2 linked regions of the Struthio camelus genome follow. The protein of the gene in region 2 interacts with the protein of the main gene of each other region in a pairwise test. Links are inferred from orthologs where the notes say so. Each region holds a gene or a part of one and is shown on either strand. Other genes may lie near its edges.

What was found.
Region 1: the proteins of ATP10B (region 2) and TMEM30A interact in a protein complementation assay, tested with the Homo sapiens proteins (2 studies listed by IntAct, with this or other methods). The link is inferred for Struthio camelus from reciprocal best matches to the Homo sapiens genes ATP10B and TMEM30A.

The regions. Positions count from the first base shown.
Region 1 is NC_090944.1:43,287,017-43,299,501, forward strand, and holds the start of TMEM30A (cell cycle control protein 50A), read right to left. Parts: upstream 5,733-12,485; 5' UTR 5,679-5,732; coding exon 5,391-5,678; intron 1-5,390. UniProt on the Homo sapiens protein: Accessory component of a P4-ATPase flippase complex which catalyzes the hydrolysis of ATP coupled to the transport of aminophospholipids from the outer to the inner leaflet of various membranes and ensures the maintenance of asymmetric distribution of phospholipids.
Region 2 is NC_090954.1:14,523,227-14,534,846, forward strand, and holds the start of ATP10B (phospholipid-transporting ATPase VB), read right to left. Parts: upstream 5,310-11,620; 5' UTR 4,980-5,309; coding exon 4,477-4,979; intron 1-4,476. UniProt on the Homo sapiens protein: Catalytic component of a P4-ATPase flippase complex, which catalyzes the hydrolysis of ATP coupled to the transport of glucosylceramide (GlcCer) from the outer to the inner leaflet of lysosome membranes.

The sequences.
Region 1 (12,485 bases), on a different chromosome or scaffold from region 2:
AACCTTGTTCCACCTCAACTTCAAAACCCTATTCAGGTCTAAAAGTTCTGCTTCTACCTCAAAGAAATTTAACACTGAGGTGGACCACTACTGCCAGGCAAAAAGAAAGGAAAAAACAGATACTCAAAACATGATGCTTCCAAACAAGTAGATTTCAGGTTTTACAGGTTTTCCAAAGAGGTTAAAAGTCTACCTAGCTATTTAATAAGAAAAAAAGTTTCACATAAGATTTTGCTTTGCTGCGTGTATTTAGGCATCTGAACAGAGTCAGAAGATTTCTCAAAAGCACTTAATGCACTGAAACTCTTCCAATAGAGGGAAGATGAAGACATTAGTACGGGTTTGCCAAGAATGGCAAATACCAGTGGATGGATAAGACGACCATAAGTGTTAATCTGGCTTATTCAAAATTATTTGTCTTTAATAGTGTAGCTCATTAATTTAAAAAAAAAAAAAAAAAAAAAAGAAACCAAACTTAAGCTACCATGACGTAATATATCCTGAGCAGCCATGTCTTCACTCTACGCCCTGAGGTGACTGTAGTCACTAGATTGCATTCTCTATCTTGTATATGGCTTGAGTATGTGAAGGGCAGGAAACAATTAACATGGGCTCATCAGGTTAGCTCCAAGTGTAGGAAGAGAAAGCTTCCATCTGCCTATAATTCACAACTTATAAACTTAATACAAAATTCTCATTCAGAATTTAAACTCAGAGCAGTGCAACATATGCCAAGGTATGGGAACAAACTGCTCAAGAGCAACATCATTTGAACTACAATGTTCTGTAAAAGCCTAATGCAAACGGTTTGCTCTGATTCATGCCTGCAGTCAAACATGTTATCAAGAGTTAAAATAAGTTATGATCTGTCCAAACATCTGTATTAAGGTTAAATAAAACAAAACTCTTCCTGTAGATTCTTTGATATCTATTAAGGAAGGAGCTGCAGCCCTCCCCTCAGCAAAGGCACTTTTTATTAGTTTCTGTTCTGCTGCCAGATTTCTGACAGATGAGATTCCCTTCTAACAAGCCTAGCTGACACAACTCAGCTTCAGAAGCTATTAGAGGGGAAAGACGGTCCGGATCATGTAGTCTTTGCTTCCTTCACCAAACAAGATACTGAGCCTATGGGAATCTGGAGAGACCACTACATAGTAGTCCTCAAGAGCTCTATTTAGCTACAGAACACAGATCACCACCATTCTAAACAAACTACAGATCTCAGTTATTCATAGCTTTTTTTTTCCCCCTCTTGCTGAAGTATTCTTTAGTCTCTGTTAGAACATCTCCTTTGGAAAATAACTAAATCGTGTGATGCATGAAAGTGATGTATATCAAAACAGAACCATGCTTTTGAGCAATGTGCTCAGCTTCAATTCTGTTCAAGAGCTTTACTGTACAGTGACTGCCAACATAAATCTTTCTTTCTGCATCCACATTTACAGGTTGCATTCAACAGGTATGTTTATCCTTTTAGCTAAGCTAGCAGAAATCTACACGTCTTTAAAGCTCTGCGATAGCTTAATATAAATCTGATCTCTGTTTCCATCTCCTGACAAATAACAAAATCATTACTTTAAGAACTGACTTATTGGGCTGCAGCAGAAATCCGTCTGACCCAGCATCCTGTCTCCAGGGAACAGCCAGAGGCGGAATATGACAAACCCAGAGAGCGAGTCCTTTCTTGGTTGGTTCTTCTCAACAACTGGTGATTTAAGGATGTTAAGTGTATGAAACTTATCTGCCATGACTTTTCAGGCAGCTGAGTTCCTTCTGAGTTCGTTTGTATTATCATAGTACAGAAATAACGCAACTATTGTGTATGCATAGTCTCCATACCAATTGTGATTTCATATACTTCATGCCTCAAAAATTTATCCTATTTTACTTAGCCAGTTCTTGCATAGAAGGTATCCCGTAACTCTGGTGTTCTAGTGGTCCCTGTCTATAGCTATTACTAACTCTGTATCATTTTTGAGATGGGGTCACCGGAACCGCACACAACACTGAAGATATATGCAACGGTAATCTACTTTTTTTCGGTTCTCCTTTCCCACTACTGTCTCATAGTCTACTTGCCTTTTTAACTACTGCTATGGATTTCAGAGTGGCAGGCACAGGAAGAGGATCTCTTTCCTACCAAGAAAGAGATTGATTTTTTGGATATTGGTCAGTTCTTACTGTTTTTTAATATGCTCTGCCAATATGATCTTTCCCTTTCCAGGGTGGCAGGAAGTCTCCTTCACCCTTTAACAGTACAGAAAAAAAAAAAAACAAACGTGCAGCCTTTTCTCATCTTCCAACCAAGAAAACTGTTTTCATGGCAGTCCCGAGGTGTTTACCCTCACTGTTCATCCCCTTTGAAACAATGAGAAAGGGCTAAAGAATAACCAATATGAAAGAACTATAATTCTGTTATATTAAAGCTGTTGGAAACCCTCCATCTTTGAACTGATGAGTGCTTATAAAGGAAATCAATGGAACATCTACATTTTGCTGCTCAATCCTTGCACCTGTATGAGAAGAGCACAATTCTCAGAGACACAATATTTAATTCCAGAAAACGGCTAAGAATAATTCCAACTATACATGGATACGTATTTTGGGGGCATAAATTACACCTCCTATTCAACTCCAATACACTAAGTTTACAAACATAACTATATGTATATGTGTGTACACATATGTAAGAAGGCGAGGAGGTGGACGTAAATAACTAGCTCTGCTTCCTGTTCCGATTACATTTTTGAAAGTGCTTAGTCACTGCATCAAGCTTTTAGATGCATTGTCTCCAAGAGAGACAGCTACTTGTGAATAACATTTGGAGGTTACTATCAAAAGCTAGCATGCTAACCACAGAGGGAGCCATCTAAGCTAGAGACACAGGCAGTAGCTGTACCTTAAATTGCATCTGTCACTGCTATTTAGAGCCCAAGGGTTGTACTGTAAAATGCTTCATCTAAATTTTAATAATGCAACCTTAAAGCCTTTTCCAGTCTAAATTCCACTCCTCCCCCGCAAACTGAGCTGGAGTAGAAAAGAAGCCGTAGTTTACCTGCATTTAAAATGATAATCTCATATACATGTGTGTGTGCGCGTTTATACACATACAATTTCTGCATTAAAACACTTTATGAAACATGCATCGAGATCAGAGAACAGAACATGAGCATCCCCACTTTCACCTGCACAGCCCAACTGCTACATCTTGAAGTCATTCTCTCAGAAGTCAAGAACTCTGTCCCTCTTGTCCGCAGAAAAGCCTGATAATCGGACTGAGGAAAGGGTCAAGTGAGGTGGGTAACATAAGTCCGAACCCACTCAGAAAAAAAAAATAAATAAATTCCTCTCTAATTATGAATCTCTCGGAATTAGAAAAGGTAGCAGGCCTTCCATCTTGCTCCCAAAAGTAAGATGCCACTACTGCTTTATATATGCAATCTGACTGCCTAGGGGAGTATTAATCATGCTCCTAGTTCACCTATGGCTTTTTATACCGCACACTAGGTGGAAATGTGTAGTTTGTGGCTCCTGACAGCAGGAGCACAGGACTGAGCTGCTAAGTAGCAATAGTATATACGATCTCTGAATATGCACACAACAGAAATATAAGATAAGGGAGTGGCTTACATTTTTGGATTCACATAAAACCCTGCTGAGTATTCTATCCTTATAGATCAACCCACAGGAAAGAGTTCCACTGATTCAGATATTGTAAAATATATATGTATATATGCATACATTTACCCAATTTTATTTACCTTAAAATCATTACTAGCTGAGAGTTTATGCTCTTTTACTACAAAAATATGGCTATTCTGAATGCAGTTGTCAGCAAATCAGTGTTAGTGAGTGTATTTACTATTCTTCTAAAATAAATATAATCATTTATTTTCAAAAGGACATTTATCTTAAATATGACCACAAAGTGGCATTAAAAAAGTCTAAGTATCCATGACAACTTGGCAATATTCTCTGAAGCACCTGTGTCAATTTTAAAGTATTATGCATACCCTCAAACCTTGACACAAGCAGCATTTTTTTTTTTTTTAAATAAGCTTCCATACAACATCAGGACACTGTAAAGGGCACTTCAGCTGTGATTTTTAACTTCAGCTTTTATTCTTCTTGACTGTGGAGTTTTAGTTCTAAACAATTTAATGGTCATTTTTCTTTTCTGGTTTTATGTTAACATTGTTCATGTTGTGCAATATATACAAAAAGATACTACTATTCACTGTCTACCTCACAATTTCTTTAGTTAATCGGGCTTCATTGCCACTGATTATCAGCAGTTAAGCCACTATTTTGAACACTACATATATGAAAAGGACAAGTTACTTAAATAATTTGATTGTTTGACGTGCTGGAGAATATTTATTTTATGGATCAAATCAACTACACCTCCCTCCTGCTCCCTCCCTCATCAGTCCTGGTCCCCTTAGCTTACTAGAACTAATCAGAGCTGTCAATCTGAGCACACGTGTGCCTAAGATATGTTTTCTAGCCCAAAGGGAAAGTTTCCTTAGAACATAAAGTGATCCTGCTATAAAACGGCTCTAATGTTGATATAAGGTTCAGTTCTGACAAACGGTGAGCAGCAGCTCAGGACAGCAGTGTGGCTAAGTTTCAGGGATAAATTACTTCCACTTTTTATAAGTATATGTAGAAAAAGACACTCGAAGCTCTCATGCTCTTGGATCTTTGCTGTTAAGTCTACTTGCGACACACTGGCTCTTGGAGAGCATCTAAAATGATGAGCTGTTATCACACAAAAATTATAGCAATGCATTCACCACAAAGTTCTGTCTTGAAACCATAACTACCTTGAAACATCAGATATTGCCCATTATCATAAGTTATCCCACAAACGATGAACACTTGTTTTCCCTACTGAGAAAAAGATCAGCATTAAGCTGTGTGCTAACTACATACTGGCATTAATTTTCCCAGAAGTTCACTTAACATTGGCAGGAAAACTGCAGTCCATCCAGAGGACATGCTTTTAACTTCAACGTTTAGCCGGGGCAATTAATGGTAGCTCGTGAAAGAGCATAAACGTTAAACCAAACTGAAACAGACAGGGTGAGGTATTTGTTCATCATAGAAACCACACAAGCCATCTCCGCTTCCCGATGCGAAAGCTACTGTGGTCTTTTCCTGCCTGGCGCTCAACAAACCAGCTACTTACAAATTCCCTAACACCTTTAATGCTGCCCGGTTCCCGCCTGCCTGCCTGGCGGCGGCACCCCAAGTCCTTTTTCCCCAGGGCCGGCGGGCCCCTGCCCGGCCGAGGCCCCTGCCCCGGCCGGCCCGAGGAGCCGCGGGGCTCGGCAGGGCCCCCGCGGCGGAGGGGCCGAGGCCAGGCCGCGCACCCCCGCCCCGCGCACCTCGTACTCGCGGATGTTGTTGGAGGTGACGAAGATGCCGATGCCGATGGGGATGAAGATGAGGCCGATGATGAAGAAGGCCGGCAGCACCGTGCCCGCCGTCAGGATGGGCTGCCAGGCCGGCAGGCGCTGCTGCTTGAACGCCGTGTTATCCGGCTTGCGGGTCTTCACCGCCCCGCCGCCGCCGCCGCCGCTGCCGCCGCCCACGGCGCCGCCGCCGCCCGCCACCCCGATGCCGCCCGAGGGGTGCCCGTCCGCCTCCTCCTTGGCGCTGTAGTTCACCGCCATGGCGCCGCCGCCGCCGCCCGCCCCGTCACCGAGGGCCGCGCGCTGCCACCGGCCCCGCCGGCGACGCCAACACCCCGCGCCGCACGGCACCCCGCCGCCGCCCCCACGTGACCCGCCGCCGCGCCTGCGCTCTCGGCCGCGGCTGACCAGCAGAGCGAGGCGCGCAGCTGATGACGCACCGCACTGGCCCCGCCCCCACCCTCACCGGGGGCGGGGGTAGGGAGGGCCGCTCCCAGGTGCGCATGCGCAAGAGCAGAAAGCGCGGCCCTGCGGAGGGCGGCTTGCGCCTGCGCGTTTCTTCTCGTTCCGCGCGTCGGGGGCGGTGGCCGGCGCAGAGCGCATGCGCGGGCCGGCGGCGGCGGGCGCCGTCTCCGAGCGGTGGAGTGGCGGGTGGTGGCGTTGTCACCCCGCCGGCCGCCTCGTCCCCGCCTCGTCCCCATCCGTCCCAAGGGCGGTGCTGGGAAGGGGCAGTATAATCCTGCACCAAGTCTGGATGGCGCCTGAGAGAGTAACTTCAGTTTCTGACTCGCATAAAGAGCAACCGCCTCATTCTTACAGTAGTGGAGGCTTACGGACCGTCTCTCAACTCTCAGCAAAGTTACAAGATCTTACCTCAATAAAGCTGTTCGCACCAGCAGTCCCTTTATGGGAGTTGCTTTGCCTTGGCGCTTTCTCTTCAGAAATTGAACTGTAAGGTGTGGTGAACCGCATCGTGGTTGGGTGGTGGTGCGTGCGTGAGCCAGGGTCCTGGCCCTGAGCGCAGAGAGCACCGTTTCTGTCCGAACTGAGGGGTTTTTTACCCTCATAAGGAGCAGATCGTGCTTCTGCTCAGCTTTCCTTTCTAAGTAGTCACCTTAACAGAAAGTGTTGTGGGGTCACATGTCTGTAGCTCAGAATACCTCTCTGGGCATCACTCGGAGTCCCTCTCTCTCACTCTATTGGTGCTTTTATGTTAAAAGTTGGTTTCGTAAAGACTGTGTAGGACAATGTAGCCAAAACCCAAGGAATATTTACGTATGTGTATACTTTCAGTAAGCATTCTGACTGAAACTATTTAAATAATTTTATAAGCATGTAATCCTGTCTGTCTAAGACTGCTTACCCGCACCGGGGAACTCTCTTCCTAAAATAGATGCCTGCATTTTAGTTGTCTGGAGAGTGATAGTATCTCCGAAGACCACTGGAGGGAGCAGTTGGCTACCTAACAGCTCCTTAGCTCCTAACAGCATATGCAACTTCTCCCCGGAGACCCAAAAGCACTTCCCTCTCTTCGAAGACTGTGTAGGAAATGTGGACACTTTTTAAAAATATCTAGCATTTGCGAATAAATTTGATTCCTAAATAATTGTTTAGAATTCTGTTAGGAAAAAAGGAAATCATATTCCTTGTGGCATCTGTGTTACAGCTACATATAATTTACCCTTGCTGTTATCTTCTAGTGGGCCTTGCCTTCTGTTCTGTTATTCCCCCTACCTAATCCCCTAATCCCTTTTCCTCATTATCTTGCATTTTCTATTATCATCTTTCAGTTCATCACTTTCACTCCTTCAGCCTCCCAGGAAATCCCAGGTGCCAAGTAAGATACCAAGGAAACAACACTGCTGGTAAACCTGTGCTGTAAGATGGCAAGAAATTTCACTGGCAGCAGGATGACCCAGTAACAGTATCAGGCAGTTGGTAAGATCATGACTGCTGCCTGGTACAAGAGGACTGGCAAGGAAGGCTACGTGAAATTCATGAAGAAGAAACGTGTTCCTGAAGAGCCAGCCCTCGAACTTCAAGGATGGCATGGCAGGCATGCAGGTTTTACAGAGACCTTGAAGAGGTCTTGAATTGCCAAACACGTCTCTGACCCAATGTTTGTTTTGTTGTCCATGTCATAGGTCCCAGGGCTGCCAAAGGGATGAATCTGAGTAGAACCAACTGAGCGATCAGCAGCAAAGATACAAAGACAAGCCATGCTAGCATGGATACAATACATCATCTCCACTAATAAGATCTCACCAGTTTTTGGGCCAGACATCCTAGAACTGGGAACCTGGAGACAGTACACTTCAGAGGTAGACTCAGCTCCTCCTTGTTTCCAGATGTTCACAGGCTGTTTGATCACATTTTGTATTTTTTTCGGTTCTTTGTCTGAGTCAGGTAATGTATTTTTTTAAGCAGTTACTTTTTGTTCCCCAACTTTCCTTATGCCTTTCCTTATCTCCTGTTGCCTTGGTTAAGGAACCTTAAATCACACAGTGGCAACTACTCTTCTCTGGCAGCTGCCTGATGGCAACCACTCTTCACTTTGTTAACCTAAAGTAACCAAAGTCACAGGTTACCGAGGATAATTTTTGACAACCATAACGGGAGAGTCTGGAGAAGAGAGCACTCTGTGGCCCTGTCCTCATTACTGGACCCCTCAGAAGTCCTCAAAAGGACACATTCAGGGACATCAAGAGTCCCCTATGCCAATGCCCCAGTTTCCAGCCTAGATAAATGTACTGCTTTTCGATATATGCCTGTGGAGGGGAGGGGAAAGTGTGCATTAGGCTTCTTTTGATACTGAGACAGTGGATTCAGAACTGCAATCTGATTGTAAGGGACTGTTAATGCTTTTAAAAGTAAATCTCCCGGTGCTATGAGAAATCCACTAATTACATTAGAAAACATCTCGCAGGGTAAGCTACACATGCAGCATGCCTTGATAACACAGCCTTCCTAGCTTCTACTGCAAGGCCCTTGCCTTTGCTGAACACAGCAGGTTGCGAGCTGATGGAGAGGCAAGAGCACTGCACACAGCAGTGCTACAAATTGCCTCCCTGCCCCATGAGCAGCAAGAAAGATGTGTCACTTTGCAAAACAAAGCAGGGCCGGACTGGCAGGGGGAACAGAAGGCCTTGGGGGGGGTGGTAGGAGAAACAGCAACTGTGGGAGGCCTTCGGTCTCTTTCCAGAGCCACCCAGTTATGCTGCAGATGGCGGGGCAGCTGCAGAAAGAGCCAGAGGAAGAAGGAAAATTCATCCTGATCCTGAGGAGGGTCCTCTAGGCCCCTCTGGCTCTGCGCCCCCAGCCTATAGGGCCCCCGTGGAGGCACCCAAGTCAAGCTGTAGCAGTGGGCTATGGGGGCTGCCTGGCCCTGTGCTGTTCTGCACACAGCCTTGTGCCTGCCACTGTATTTAGATGGCCACGATGGCCAGATTTTATTCATATTTTTCCCCAGTGGGCCCTATTTGCCTACAGTTGACTGTTCATGTTTTCAGTCATGTTGTTCCCTCCCCTTTTCCCTAGTTTTTGTCCTTTGCCCCAGTTTCAAACATCCTGGGACACCTTGTTCCTCCCTTAATATATATATGCATGTACATGCACGCTATTTTACACTACACTTTTTACAAGCTATGGGCCGTGTTGATCTGCTCTAGGAATCAAGTTTTGTTGTTTGAACACTTCTGTTCACGCACTTCTGCCTAGCTGCAGATGTTTCTCCAATTGAGATTTTTGCCCTCTGTCTGTAAAAGTTTCTTGCTTTCCTTTCTGTAGGGTAGTAGTGAGGTGGAAGAGGGAGCCTGAGGCCATGGCATGTTGATAGCCCATTTAGAGAGTGAAAGGCGCAGTCCCTCTTGCAATCTTTGCAAGAGAGACAGGCAGGCAGAGCCTCTTGGTTTTGTACGTAAAAGGCAGGAGGGGGGGTAGTTTGGGACACTGAAAATGTTTGGCTTCAGGGAATCTCTGGAGCAGGCAACATGGGCCACTGGGAACTGAAGACCCACCAGGAGGCTGGAAGGGCACTAGTACTCTCTGAATAGAGTATTTCAGCCAAAAAACTGGGCACAGCGTGAGGGGGTTGAGTCATCCTGAGAGCTTAACTAGGAAGGGGGGGCAATGAGAGCACCTACTTCCCTGTGGAAAGGAGAGGGAGAAGGGTTTGTCCCATCCTGTACGGCCTAATGACATGGATCTGCCACCAGCCTCACGAGTTCTTGTCAAGCCTTACTGCCTCTGAGCAGACCCACAGCTGATGCTTGCACAGCCTTTACAAGCACAAAGAGGCTTGTCTTGGGTCAGGAGGGAAGGCAGATGAGACAGAGAGATACTGAGAGTCTGCCTACTTCTTTTTAATCTCTGCGCCACTTCTCTCTTCCACTTCGGTTCTGTGAGCTGTAAGGGCACGGTTAAACTAGGCATGGGCTCTGTTGCTGTTGGGGAATGGCCTCATTAGATAGTGGTGCAGGGCCGTGGGCCGCAGTGATAGCGACGCTAATGGAGACACTGATGTGGTACCATCTCCGTGTGAAAGAGGCAGAAGAGTGGGGCGCTTCCCAGAGGGTCTTGCAGAGAGGCCCTCCGTCAAGGGAACGCAGCAGGGATTTGTATGAGAGTTTTCCTTCACAAAACTTCAAACCAACGTGCAGGAGAGACATTTGGCGTAAGAGACCAGACTAAATCCAATCTGAAGAAAACTCAAATTACTTATAATGGAGATATGCAGAGCCTCAGCACTTCAGTGTACGGATCTGCTCCTGTTGTATCAAATTACTTGGTAATGTAGTCCTAGCCAGCCACAAAGGCTCCAGATAAATCTGAGAAAAGCGTAAACAGGGGAGAAATGGAGAACTTCCTCTTCCTCTTTCCATCCCAGTGGAATCTGCTGCTTTTATAATGCTGTCAGATTCTGAGCTGAACAGATTTAAAAAGGTGTGGCTAAGTCCTAACGTCTAAATCCTGGTTTTCGGGTAAGTACTGCCATATTAACAAAGCAACAGGGGAGCGTTCAAGCTAATCCCTGCTTACCCAGTGTATGATGTGAAACAGAAAGAGGGAAAGACTATTTAGCCTACCATACAGATCAATGGGCAGTATGACCAATATTATTATTGGCCAGTTATAGCTATTTCTTTCCAATTAATTGTATTCAAGTCCATACGCTCATCCATATGTTTGGCCTATCCATAGATTTTGCAGCAGAACCACTAGGTTAATTAGAAGCATGATTTTTCTCTTTACCAAAATAATTATATCCTCAGTAATTATATCCTCAGTGAGGATGCAATCACAGAGTCTATCTTACTTCTATTCTTTAGAGAAATAAAGGATATCAGCACAAATACTTTATAATATTGGTTTTACTGCAAACTAAGACCTTGGATGGATGTTACTGCACAGGTTTATGCTAAGGCAAATTCATTTATAGTCAACAAAGTAAAACTAACAAATTTCATGGTCGCAAAATTTTACACTGAGGTGGTGCGCGATGCAGTGATTACACTTCACATTGGTCTGTGTGCAGCTATAAGAAAAATGGATATAGAAATAAAAGAAAAATACTTAAAAAAATGCACTTAAAATGTTCCTTTTTAAATATGTGTAACAGCAGGCTCATTTATTAGTTAATAATTAACTTAGCAATGACTGCTACAGAGCCATGGTACGTAGTCAAGACCTCAGCGTGTTACGTTTATTAATCTTCAAGGTAAGGAAGAAGAAAACATGTATTAGATAACCTAAGCATAAATGTTAAATTTTCAAAATTTTAATTTAGAAACTGAAGTCTGATTTCAGCGGTAGAAATACGAATGTAATTGTAGTTAATCTGAAAGACTACCGAGTGGCATTTATTTTTTAATTGTATTTCATTAAGCCCCTCAAATGATCTTCTTCTTCTGGCACTTATCCAATCCCACTGTGCACTTATTTCTAGGAAAGATTTAAATAACTAATACTCATTAAAATAAAATCCAAATAAGTAAAACTTTATGCTGCGTTAAATCACTAATGTATAAAACAGTCAGCTCTTTAAAGCAAATAAAATGCATCAACTGCTAAATAGATTATTTTAGTGAGCAAATGTACCTTTATAAGTAAAAACAAGCCTTAAATTCAAAGTCATCTTCTTAGAAATAAATGTTAATGTTCAGAGAAAGAGATAAAACTCAGCAACTCACAGTAGGAAGCTGAACATTCAGGACAACAATGTCAATTTTCTATTTATAGTTTGTTTTCTACCTTACAGGTAGTTCTACAAAACAGGTAGTTTTATCTCCTCTTTCTGTCTAATTTCGTTTCAAGATGAGGCAAGTATAACACTCTCAGTGACTATAAAAAAGTTTTTCTCTAGAAATCAAAGCACCTGAGACTTTTAATAGGCTTAAACTTTTTATGTTATCACATCTAATTAGACTAACCCACACTTTTCAATCCTCTATAAACAGTCTGTGTTCTTTAAGAGAAAAGCAGATTTTTTCATTGATTTTCAATTGCTGAAAGTTACCAATATCGATAGCCCAAGCTAGCCTCTACACTGTCTTAGTCTGAAAACACTTTATGATTTTTTCCTTCGAAAAAGAGAATAGTTGTAGAATTAACCACATTTTAAATCTCTACTAGTAAATTTTATGCAGTGTCCCAAACTATAGGCTAATTATGTGGCTAACACACTTTCTTTACTCACTTGTTGTAGATTCAAATACAAATTAGGTCATGTAAAAAATTAACCAGGAACATTAATGCATTGGAAGTACACCGTTCGAAGCACAGCGTTCAAAGCACCCTTTGCACACCTGGGTTTCACCCTCCTGGCATTTTGATGAAATCCATAGCTGCTTGCCAGGTGTCAGATCAGTCACAATTTATTATTCTACCTGCAGAAACCATTATCAACAATGAAACAGTATATACCACTGCTGCTCTTGTATGGCCAGTGTGACCAGCCTCCTACTCCAAAGTGACGCAGTTCATCTAAAATATTTTAAAAACTAGACGGGTTTCAAATACACCACAACTACATTTATGCTTTAAAAAACTTCATTTTCTAAAGCTTAAAAT
Region 2 (11,620 bases):
CCACATACCATCTTGAGGTCACATGTAGGAGCCTGCTTCTCTCTAGATTTTAAATGTGCCATTTCAGACAGTTAGTATGACACTCAGTGTCACATTGTCACTATTCTGCAGGTCTCTAAGTTGGAAACTTAGTTTCTCATTTATTTATCTTTTGCAATTAGCTTCTGCTGCTGTTTGCTAAGCCACTGCACACTGCTTCTGTGAAGCAGCTTTAAATGCCTTGTCAGGTAATAGATCTTCAGGAAGGTGTTGATAAAACAATACACAAACAGGTGGTAGCATTAATAACATCATTGCAGGTTTTCTTCTAAAGAGGGCAAGGATCTTCACTGTAGTGAGGAACATTGACTGACAAGGAGAACTGCTAACTTGCTGCTCTTTGACTTTCCGGTGCTGCACCCCGGACCTGAGTGTTGAGAACCTGACATTTGTCTTTTGCATTTATCAGTTTAGCATGTTGAGTATTTCTTCAGCACACAGTCAGCATGCTCACCATTAGATGAATTCATGTTTTAATTATTTCTTCACAACTTTGACATTACTAGTTTCAAGCAGTTGCATGGCAACATACACCAAACCTTAGTGTACTCTTGGTTGAGGCCATTTCTGAACTCGCTAGAAGTTTGAAGAACGCCTCCAGTTAGCACAAATAGAAGGCACTGTTTCTGCCTTCAGTAATACCTATTGTTTACTGAGGTATCTGTTGTTATGTTAGGTACAAAAACTCCAGTGTACCTAAAGCGTACAGATTATTATCCTGCAGTCATTGTAAAGCTTACTTACATCACTACTTTTATATGAAGTAATTCATGCTCCAGCTGATCAAAGTTCATGCTTTGTGGTTATCATAAGAATATGCATATGCATCCATGCAAGATATTACACGGAGCTGGGGTATGAAACCAGGATACTCAGTCATACAAGCTCATACACCACTCAGAGAAGGCACTATTTAGATGTAGAAGATTTTCTTGGACATAGCAACATCAATTGCAATTTTGCCAAAGGGCATGCGATGGGACTTCAAGCTGGCCAGAGGCTTGAGACTATCTGTCCTCTCTTTTTTTGTTGTTTTTTTTTGTCATTTTTTGTTTTTTTAGCAGGAGATGAACTCAAACCTTATACTAAGCAGAGAAAAGGGTTACAATAAAGGCCATCCTGACTTTTTGTGACATTGATGTTGTCAGTGGATCATTTGGAGGAAGAGTATATCAATGCTTGTAGGACCTACTTGAAAACCCCAGAATCTAAAAGCATCACAGAGAAATTTCACTGAGAGCGTAGTCAGTCCACCTCACGTAGGAGGCCTGTAGACTTACTAGTTAACATGCAACTCCATAGGATGGTTCAAAGCACATAAAATAGACTTCTCTTCTGAATGACTTTCTCCGATATCTGAGTTTAGGTGCTTAAAATTAAGCAGCGTGAACAGCTCAAATACTTAAATTAAATACTCAAATACTTAAGTTAAATTTCCAGAGGTGTGAAATCAATGTAACTAATAAATCAATGTAAAACCCTGCCTGGATGCTATGGAGTGTTTGTAGATCATTAAAGCTTAATCCTGGAATATTTTTGAGGGAGGTTGCCAGATCCAAGCGATAGGTTAATTGTACACTGAGTATTTTCTCAATCACCATAGAACTTCAGGTTAATTAAATAATAGCTTTTAGTCAGTGTTGGGCTGGCATTCACTTACAGTTCCACAGTTGGCTTGTATACTACATTCAGTGCTGGCAGCTGTTGTTAGTAAGTTAAGGACAGACTGGAGAGAGTTCAGAGAAAAGTAACCAAAGTAGGTTTGGGGGGATGGACTTGTAAGAGAGATGAAGAGGGTGATAACAGAACCTGACTAAAAGGTCAATGGTGGCTAGGTGTATCAAAATGAATGTGATAACAACCACAACTATTCAAAGACTATAAATAAATATTATGGATGAAAACTAATAAATTAGGCTTGTATGAAATCAACTAACTTGAGGAATTTGTACGCAGTTAAGGAGCGCTAATGAAAGCAGACTATCATAGGAGATGCTTTGACAATCACATTTGGTAGACAGTGGAAGCCCTACTGCTTGAAAAATTTAGAAGCAGATAACGTATATTTTAAAGAATATCGGGAGAAAAGAGGCAATTGAACATAGGTCTGTCCCATCTATATTTGGATTTTCAGTCTTTTTTTTTCTGTTGTGTGACTTGTTGTGAAAGCATAACAGTTTATAAACAATTACTATGATTCTAAAACCCTTTAATTTAGAAACTAAAACGTCCACAATCAAACCCCAGGTCTAAGTCATTATATCCCCTCAAGACACTTTATTAATCGTCTCCCCTTTTTTCAATTAACTATTTAGCTACCAGTCTAGATTATAAATCCAGCTGATCTATGTGAAAACAAAATTAGAAGAAATGTGTTTATAGGACAGCCAATTTAAACTCAGTGTTCCTTACTCTGAGCAAGAAGGGCAAGCTACTGCACTTCCTCCAGTCTTCAAGAAAGTTTTGGAAAATATTCAGCGTTTGGAAAAGAGAACTCTGCCTTTGTGTTTCTCTTAGAACACAGAATCAGAGATTCTGTTATTGAAATCTGAAATAAAGAAAATATACTCTTCAAAATTAACCCTTTAAATCCAATTAATTGTCAGTCTTAGGGTGGAAGATCAGTTGCTCCATGAAAAAGAATTCTCTGCCGCCACAAAATTAGTAAGACTCACAGTGTCTAGAAAAAGCCTTTCACCTATGTTACAAAATTACCTACAGCAGATGATTCATAAGGAAGAAAATTAGAAGATACCACACTCTTCCATGACTTTGTAGCTAGCAAGAAGAACAAGAAATACCAGCTTCCAAAAGCTCTATAGAAGCCTGATTAAAATTATTCATGATATAATAAGCCGTAACTACAGATTTGATGGCAGTTGTAATTACCCACCATTTTTCCAGACAGGATGAACACTGTAGTCTGAAGCCCTCTCCATTTCCCTTTCCCTTACATCGCCTTTTTAGGCCATAAAACTTTGGTGAAAGACAACATTCTAGACAAGATTTATTCATAGATTATCAAAGCCCTATTTATGGGATGGAATGACCAGTTTTAATATGGTCCCATGTCAAGTTTCAGCATAAGAAAGCATTCACAGCTATGACTCTAATGTGGATCTACACGTACATTGCAATTCCATGAGGAATATTTTTCCCATATACAAAAATAAGTTTTATTGTATTTCACCACTTCTCACCTTCTCATAGTAAATGTCTTTTATATATAAATTACCATGGTAATTCTATCTAAAGGGGAAATAAAGGGGATTCCCCATGTAGTTCCATTCACTAGTATCTACTGCATCACCTACTATTCCCTTTGAGATTGGCCTTAAAAATAAGTAGGTCTCATTGCCTCATAGATTAATGTAACACTGAGAAGATTAAAAAAATCCAGCTAGACTCTAGCCTCAAACATAGGCAAAAGAAGTATTTTTGTAATTGACCCAAAGAGCTAGATTTATTGACATAAAAGTACTCTTAGATGAATAATATTTAGAAACTTATAAATGACTACTTTTTAAGTAGCCCCCAAACAAGTAAATTCAATTTCCCTGTTTAACCAGCAAGATATAAAAATAAAACCCAATGAACATGCACAAAAGAAACAAACAGCACTATATGACAAAAGCCAGAGTTTTGCAAGATTTTATGTCTGAGAACTCACACTATATAAAGCACTATTGATTAATACGAGGAATGACAAACAACTTTCAGGGAATGGTAAGTTTTGCTCTTCTAGCTCTCAGATGTGATATTTTAAAAGGAAAAAGCCACTTCCTACTGAGAGGGTAGTTGTCAAACTAATAAAATATAATTTTGAAACTCCTTAAAGTCCTAAAAGCAAGAAGATATGAAATATTTTGAAGACTTCAGCACAGACACTCCTAGTTGATTCATTCAGAGAAGATCAGAGGCATATATTACTATCTTATGGTTTTAAACTGTATTTTTACACAGTTTTATTTTGCATACAATTGAAGCCTCGCTTACAGTTTAAAGTATAAAATTCAGAAAAGTGCAAAGGGCTATAATTGATACAAATAGCTCCCATTCCTGATCTTGTTCTGTGCTACCTTATATTGATAGAATTAAGCCCTCTTGAAATTTCCTTAAAAACCCAGGTGCTTAGTAGTTATGTAAGCACCTGGCTTCCACTATCCTCCACATCTAAGAAAGATAGCCACTCCAATACTATGTAACTTGAACTTTCCCTCCCATTTTGAACATGAGGTTTAAGCAAAACAGAAATATCTTTCCCTGTATCAGAACAAATACCAGGCTTACCTAGCCATCATGATTTTTCACAGTTTTATCAAATCATTCTGATTTTCCAGCAAGACAATATATTAAATGTTTTTAAACAAAACATGTCAATACTGATGAAAGATCCCAAGTCAACTTTTTTCTTAATGAAAGCTGTACAAAACTCACCTGCTGTAAATGTAACAGCCCATATTATTGATTTCTTTGTCCAATTTGTACCGCCGAAAGTCCTCCCAAGCATCTTTAATGGCTGTAATAGCCATTATAACACAAATTGGGATCACGGAAACTTCTGGTTGGAAAGCATTAACCACTGGCACAAAATTCAGGAGAGCGATGGCCACAAAATAAATATTGGCGAAGCGGTGAAGCTGTTCAGAGATATTTTTAGGGAGGAAAGTCAAGAGGGTGTATTTTGTAGTCTTAATTTCATTACAGTCATAGTGTCTGTTTGGATTTTCCTTCCACTTCTTTCTTCCAAAGGGCAAATTGGAGATGATCACTCGTTTATTTTCATTTTTCCTCTTTCTTTTCTTTACTTTTCCTCTCCTCTCCATCTCTTCATTTTGAATTTCAGTGTCAGAAGAAGCACACTGGCAGCATGTGTTTTTGAAAAAAAGTTTTGTCCATATCTTCAAAGAGAAGCAGCCTCGAACGCTTTTCCGTGACATCTTGTTCTCCTGCCAGAACGTTGCTTCAAATTTGATAACAATGAAGGGAAAATAGTTCACTAATCCAGATAAATTTCAAAGCAGGGAGGAGAAGAGTCAAGCTGTCTGGAGTTCACAGCCGTCTCACTCGATCACAGCCTCCACCTGCCTGAAGACAGTAGCATCCCGGCTCACCTCAGCCGGTCCTACAGCCTGCCGGGGAGCACGTCACAACACGAAAGCATCCTGAAAGGGTTGTTATTCCTGTTAGGATACGCCTGGAGGCCCCATCCCCAGCATTTCCCTGGCTTGCGTATGTGCTCAGGTGAAGCGTCTCTGCTTTAGCACAGAACCGGGACAAACCTGAGAACGTGCGCAGTTTACACGGTTCCCTCGAAGCTTTTCTGAATCACTTGCTCTCCATGGGAGCTAACAGGAAGTTCAAAGGTAACGGGCAGAGCACTGCGCCTCCGAAGTCAACAGCAGTCTGCTATAAACCTCCTCAGAGACAGCACTTCTTTCCTCTATCTACTATTTATTGTCACACTCATTTCACAGACTATTCAAAACAACAAACAAACCAACCAAAAAAATCCTCACACAAACCAAGCAAACCTATGAGTCGGTAGCAGTGTGTAGTATAAGCACAAGTAGGCAATTCAAGGGCAGTTAACCTAGATTGCCCCTCAGCCAGGTCCTTCTCCTCCGGTAGTCCTCTAGCCTCTGGACACCCAAAGCGTCTCTCTCCCACCCAGTAATTTGTTCCTACCCCTCGTTTCTTTTTCCTCATTGGATCTCATGCCTCTGCATGTAGATATACGGCATATATGACAGTTAATTTCCAAGAGAACTACATGAATGCATACGAAACAGTAATCTCTTCTCTACAGACCTGGGCTTAAAGAGGAGCGAGATAAAAGAACAGATATAAATATTTTAACTCCTTCCAAAGCAAGATTCCTATTATGTTACACAGTGACAAGCTAAGTAGTGTTAAGTCAAGTTAGCACTTCAACAACAAACTCTGACGAAATCTAAATGTTGCAATAAGGATTACACGTAGAAATATTTCTTCCTTCTGAGTCACTACCGAGCAAACATTGCAGCTTACAGCACATGGGTGTTGTACTGTCTCCAAAATGAAACTGTGATGTATTGATCACTTGAACTTACTGGAAGTCCTACTGAATTTTTTCAGTTCCTGATTATGCTTTGCCTTAAATATAGTTCATTATTAATTTTTGTATTGATAGTTTTAGTGGAAAACTTTTGAAAAACATTGCTTCACGATTTTAAAGAGTCCCAGTGGTCCATTCCAGACTTGGCTACGTTTCAGGTGCTCTGCGCCACTTTTCCTCCAGGTTGTGCGTGCTGGCAAACTGGTTTAGAAACTTGGAATGAGAACTTGAACATCAGTACACACTGCTGTAGCCTGAGACAAAACCTGAGTGATATCAGGATGACTGTAAGTGACATAAATGAAACGCTTTATAGGCAGAAAAAAAAACACTTTATAAGAGCTTTTCCAAACTTACTGCGATCCAAAGGGACAGTGAGGGAATCATTGCGAAATCAGATGAGCAGTTTCCACCATATCAAATGCAAGAAAAAAATAATCAGTTTAGTCTACTTACTTGTCATATACCTTTGTTTTAGAGGAGTTTATAGTCTTATCAAATTGGTATTTTCTGTAGTCTTCAATAGCATCCTTCACTGTGATGGCAAGCAGCACCACAATCAAAGGCAGCACAGTAATTTCTCTGTGGAAGACTTCCACTTGTGGGAACCAGTTTAGAACCACCAGAAAGAGGAAATAAAGATTAGCCAGCCTGAAAGGGCATGAAAGAAATTAAACATAGTCAGAAATTAAAACATGTCTTTTTCTTGCTGAACATTCCTCATTTCATGTCACCTCTGTACCTCCTCTTCCTCTCCTAGAAAGGATTAATCAGTTACTTTACTATTATACTATAGCTACCTTAAGTTTTTGATGTATTACAAATGCTTTTATCAGGACTTAAAACTTCTTTAATGATGTCCCACTGCCTCAGACTTTAAAATAAGCACAAAATCAAGCAAAATCCTCAAAAACCAAACGAGTGTAACAGAATGGATATAAAAAAACACATGTTCAGAATTGTAGAACTGTCCCCAGCAGGAATCAATGAAGGCCTTCATGAGTTTAGCAAGTATATGGAAAATGGAAGATGAAATTACAGAGGTATAAATCTAATATACCGAACAGAAATTTCAAAGCTAGAGATGGATAGACAGCTTTCATTTATCTTTATCATAATGATATTTCCCCAGGCATCTTATTGACATGACTCCTTATGCTGGGGTACCTCACGCCACATCAAGCTTTGGAAAGAAACCTGACCTAGCACTAGCCATTTTTGATATACAATACGGTATAGATATATATGTATACTGTTTACAAGATGGTGATAAACTCAATTAAATTCCCTAAAAAATGTACTACAGTTATGTATAAGACTCTGAAAACTTCTCCAGAATTTAATAGATGTCTCAAACACATCCAATGAAAATGTCTCATGTTCTTAAAAATTAGAGGTTTATTCAACACAGAAAAAGAGGAGTTTTTAAATAAGTTATTTGAAATTTTTACATAGAGGACCGCTCCAGCACTCAAGGAAGCTGGCCTCAGGATCAAAAATAGCACGTTAGACCCAGCATAGGCTAGCGCACAGCATTTATTCACTTTAACCCTCCATTTCAGTGTGAATCAGCTAATAGCTGGGTATAGATAAACAATCAACTACATTTTAGTAATATAATAAGAACAAAAGCAGCCCTTCCCCAGCACCTTCAAATATTGTTCTTCAGAGAGAATTCTCAAATATCACATGTCCTTCAATGAGCTTTTACCTGTGAAACTGTTCAAAGAGATTTTTGGGCAAAAAAGTGAGCCAGGTGTATTTTGTGGTCTGTATCCTGTTTCCAGGATAAAATCTAGCAGCTTGGTCCCGGTCTTTCTGCTGCCTCCCATTGTTAGGGAACACAATCCTCCATTTGTTTAAGTTGAATTTAGGTTTGTCTCTGACAGAAGAGAGTAGTGGTGTTGATTCTGAGAGAGCCTGGGAGGGATGGTGAGCTCCCAGCCGCTGCCAGCGATACAAAGCTGAGTCCACAGACAAAGCCATTTACAGTGGGGATGTCACGCTGGAAGACAAAAGCATGACAAGAACTGAAAGCCAATTCCATTCCGGTAGAAAATTCACTTTGTGTCCTGCCAGTATAGGTTTAAAGCAGCAAACAACACTACTGTTCAGTACCTTACAGGTTCAATCTTCAAGCTCAGCACTTTCTGCAGAATAGCATAGAATAACAGGTACAACAGTCTTCAGCATGAAAAAATCTATTTCTATCTCTGTAGGGAAAAAAAAAACCCTCTATGTTCTATGTGCTATAACTGCAAACTAATGTAGATAAAAGCCAAGTTAACAGATGTGAACAATAGTTTTTCTACCACAAAGTCTGTATCATTTTTCTCAGTCATAAACTGCCACCAAATCTATTCAGGCATTCTTCTTCAAATGTCTCAGACTTTCTTACAATACCTTTTCTATTCACAATTACTTACAAAGGGACTGGCTCAGGTGTTGAATCTTAATGGCTCAGATAATAAAGAACTGCAACATCAGCTTAATCTTATTTATACTCACATAACAATTTTTCAAAGTCTGGAGAAAAATCTGATTTAAATGCAAAATGTCAGCCAGCAGTAAAACAATGGATGTTTTACTGGCTGGAGAGATAAAGGAGTTCAATCTACTAATACTAATCCTATTATCACAGGACACTTGTCTTCTGACTTGTTCACACATTCACAACTGCCATTGTAATCCAACGCCCTTGGTGCTGAGGCTCCAAAGTGCAGGTGTATATGCTGTTATGCTCAATCTAAACACAGTAAAATCTCAATCTACCAGCAGGAGTACAGAGACTGGAAGCTCTCACATACAGGCGAGGCAGTATAAGGTTAAAAAAAAAAAAAAAGGCTCTGGCTTTACGCAACATCAAAGTTTCGCGGAACTCAGTACCTGAACTGAACCTAGCTTGCTTAAACTGTGGGAAATACGGAGAAAGAAATTTGATTTAAACCTGAATAATGGTCACTTAGATTAATTCACTTATGAACTGGTTTAAACTTCATTTAATAGAAGTCATTTGAAGTGGATTAAAATATCCGCACCTGTTTGTACAAGTCTAAACAAACATATTTGAAACACGCTAAAACTTTAAATTGGCCAGTACCTTTATTACAGGTGGGTCCTTTATTCTCTCTGCTTTTCAGCTTCTTCTTCCAAAATGCCTTTCTTTTAATGTATGCAATATGTGATTTTCTTTGAAAAAAAACATAATTGTATTAAAAAGAGGTATGTTATTAAGTCATGGAAGGGGAAAAGTATACTGTCCTGAATTGCACTGGCACATCTGAAGCGTGTTATTTCATCAGCAAACTGCAAGGCATGTTTATACGTTATTACTCACTAACTATATATATATATATTTTAAAGAAGACTTTGTTCTCAGAACCTTTTGTTCGTAGGACACCAGATTTAAACTAGTAACATGACTGAGTGCACAAAGTACAACAAACTTTATGACAGCGTTCCTTGTGTCTGCATTTTAGCGCACCTGGTGCTTGTTTACAACGGAAAGGTAAGATTAATCATTTGAAGGTGTTATATTAACAAACCTACGTGCACACAGCCGAAAGCTGTGAATGGCCTTGTTCAAAAATGAAGAAATTTGCAGTTTATTCTGCAGATAGGACCTCCCGTAATCCTAACTACTGCTCTGCCCATGCCCAGATAAATGATGAGTGCTTCGACTGAAGTCAAAGTGATGTTCAACCTTAGCTACCTTAGAGCTAGGACTTTCTTACATTATAATTTTTATCTGTGGTGTTGAAATATTTTACAATGAAGATCCGATGATTAAATCCCTGGTAGCTACTAAGAAGCATATTGATCACTCAGTGGAAATGCTGCAGCAAAATGATGCAGCTCGTGGTTGCTATTGAGAGGCTGGACACATCTGCCGCTTTGTTCGCAGTAGTAAGCTGTCCATTTAATTTCAGCTACATCATAAATTAATATCTGACCAGTAGATGGAAGAGTAGTGGACTTCGGTGGCTCAAAGACTCGTGGCACAACACGCATCTCTAACAACATTATACATACACTAAGTGCTGGATGTATGAGTTGCATATAACCTTATTACCTGTCAGAGCCCCAAATTATTTCTGTACCTGTGATACACCAAGGCAGGATTAAATTGCTTTGAAATTACAAATTAAAAAATAATAATAATTTCAGGCATATTTCTATAAATAAAAGGAGAAAAGATTAATTAAGGTAGCTTTATCATTAAAAATTGCACATCTTCCACAGCTTTCACAGGAAACTTTTTCTACAGCTTCATAAATCATAATTAGGGAAGTTGCTTAACATTCAAGATAGGATCTTCTCCCCACCCCATCTTTAACTATTTCCTTAGGATACAAATCAATGAAAGAAAGACCTGGTTCTATTCAGTTTGGAAATCAGCTTTCTCTTCAGTGTTTTCTTTGCAAGGCAGCAGTCAAAAATAGTGCTGCATCCACAAAGAGAGAGGGCAACTGGTGCCAACAGACAATTAGCTGTGTCGCAGGAGACGTACAGACTCCATAATGTAAACCATGCAAAAATAAGCAACTGTTATACTGGAGGAAATTATGTAGCTGGATGCATAATCAAAGCAGCAAGCTAATGGCTTTTTTGACACAGGAATTACAGTGCAGGCAGTGAAAACACTAACAGAACCAAACCTAAAGCTTACCATTCCAGATTGCTAAGACTAAAAAGGAGCCTGAACTTGTCAATGTTAGCAGATGACCCAGCAGGAAAGAAGAAAGAACTCAAGAGATGCATTCTTCTGTAAAACCACAATTTTCTTACTTCAGCCAAGGGACAACAAGAATCTTCCAAGTGTGTTACAGGCACTTTGACATGTTATGCCAGTTACTTTGTACGTTAGGAAATCCATAAAAAATAGTACATTCTTCTGGTAATATTTTTAATGTCTCTGTCCTGGCTCTTTCTTAGAATTTTATAAAACCCTTTCTCTGTGATTCTAGAACATTTTACATGGGTACATCCATGTGATATATGTCCGTACAGAGAAATATCACCGAAAATCCATTGAAGTGTGCATTTTTTCAACATCTATTAACTACATTGACTGGTTTTCTTCCATCTCGCTAGCGAAACTCAGTACTATAACGCACAATGCAAGGTGATGCGGACATTTCAGATGCTATTATGCTTGGGATAGGCCAGCTATTCCGCTTCAGAATAAAGATTACAAGTGTTAATTCCAGTGCTGGCACACGAGAACTACTGCTGTTTCGCCTAAGGTCTCCATTGTTAGCCATTTCAGAAATACTTGCCTTCAAAAAGGATCTGCAAATTCCAGAGGCCTGCTTTATTTCTGACCAAGATTTTGTGATTTTCAGCCTGTGAGGTCAGAAATGCCAAGGAAGCACCAGCTGTGGCTGCGGCACCTTGCATAATGCGCAATTACCCTCTAGCTAATCAAGGCACCACTCTGATGAGAACTACAGGCAAAGGCATGTGGCTGTGCTCCAGCTGGGT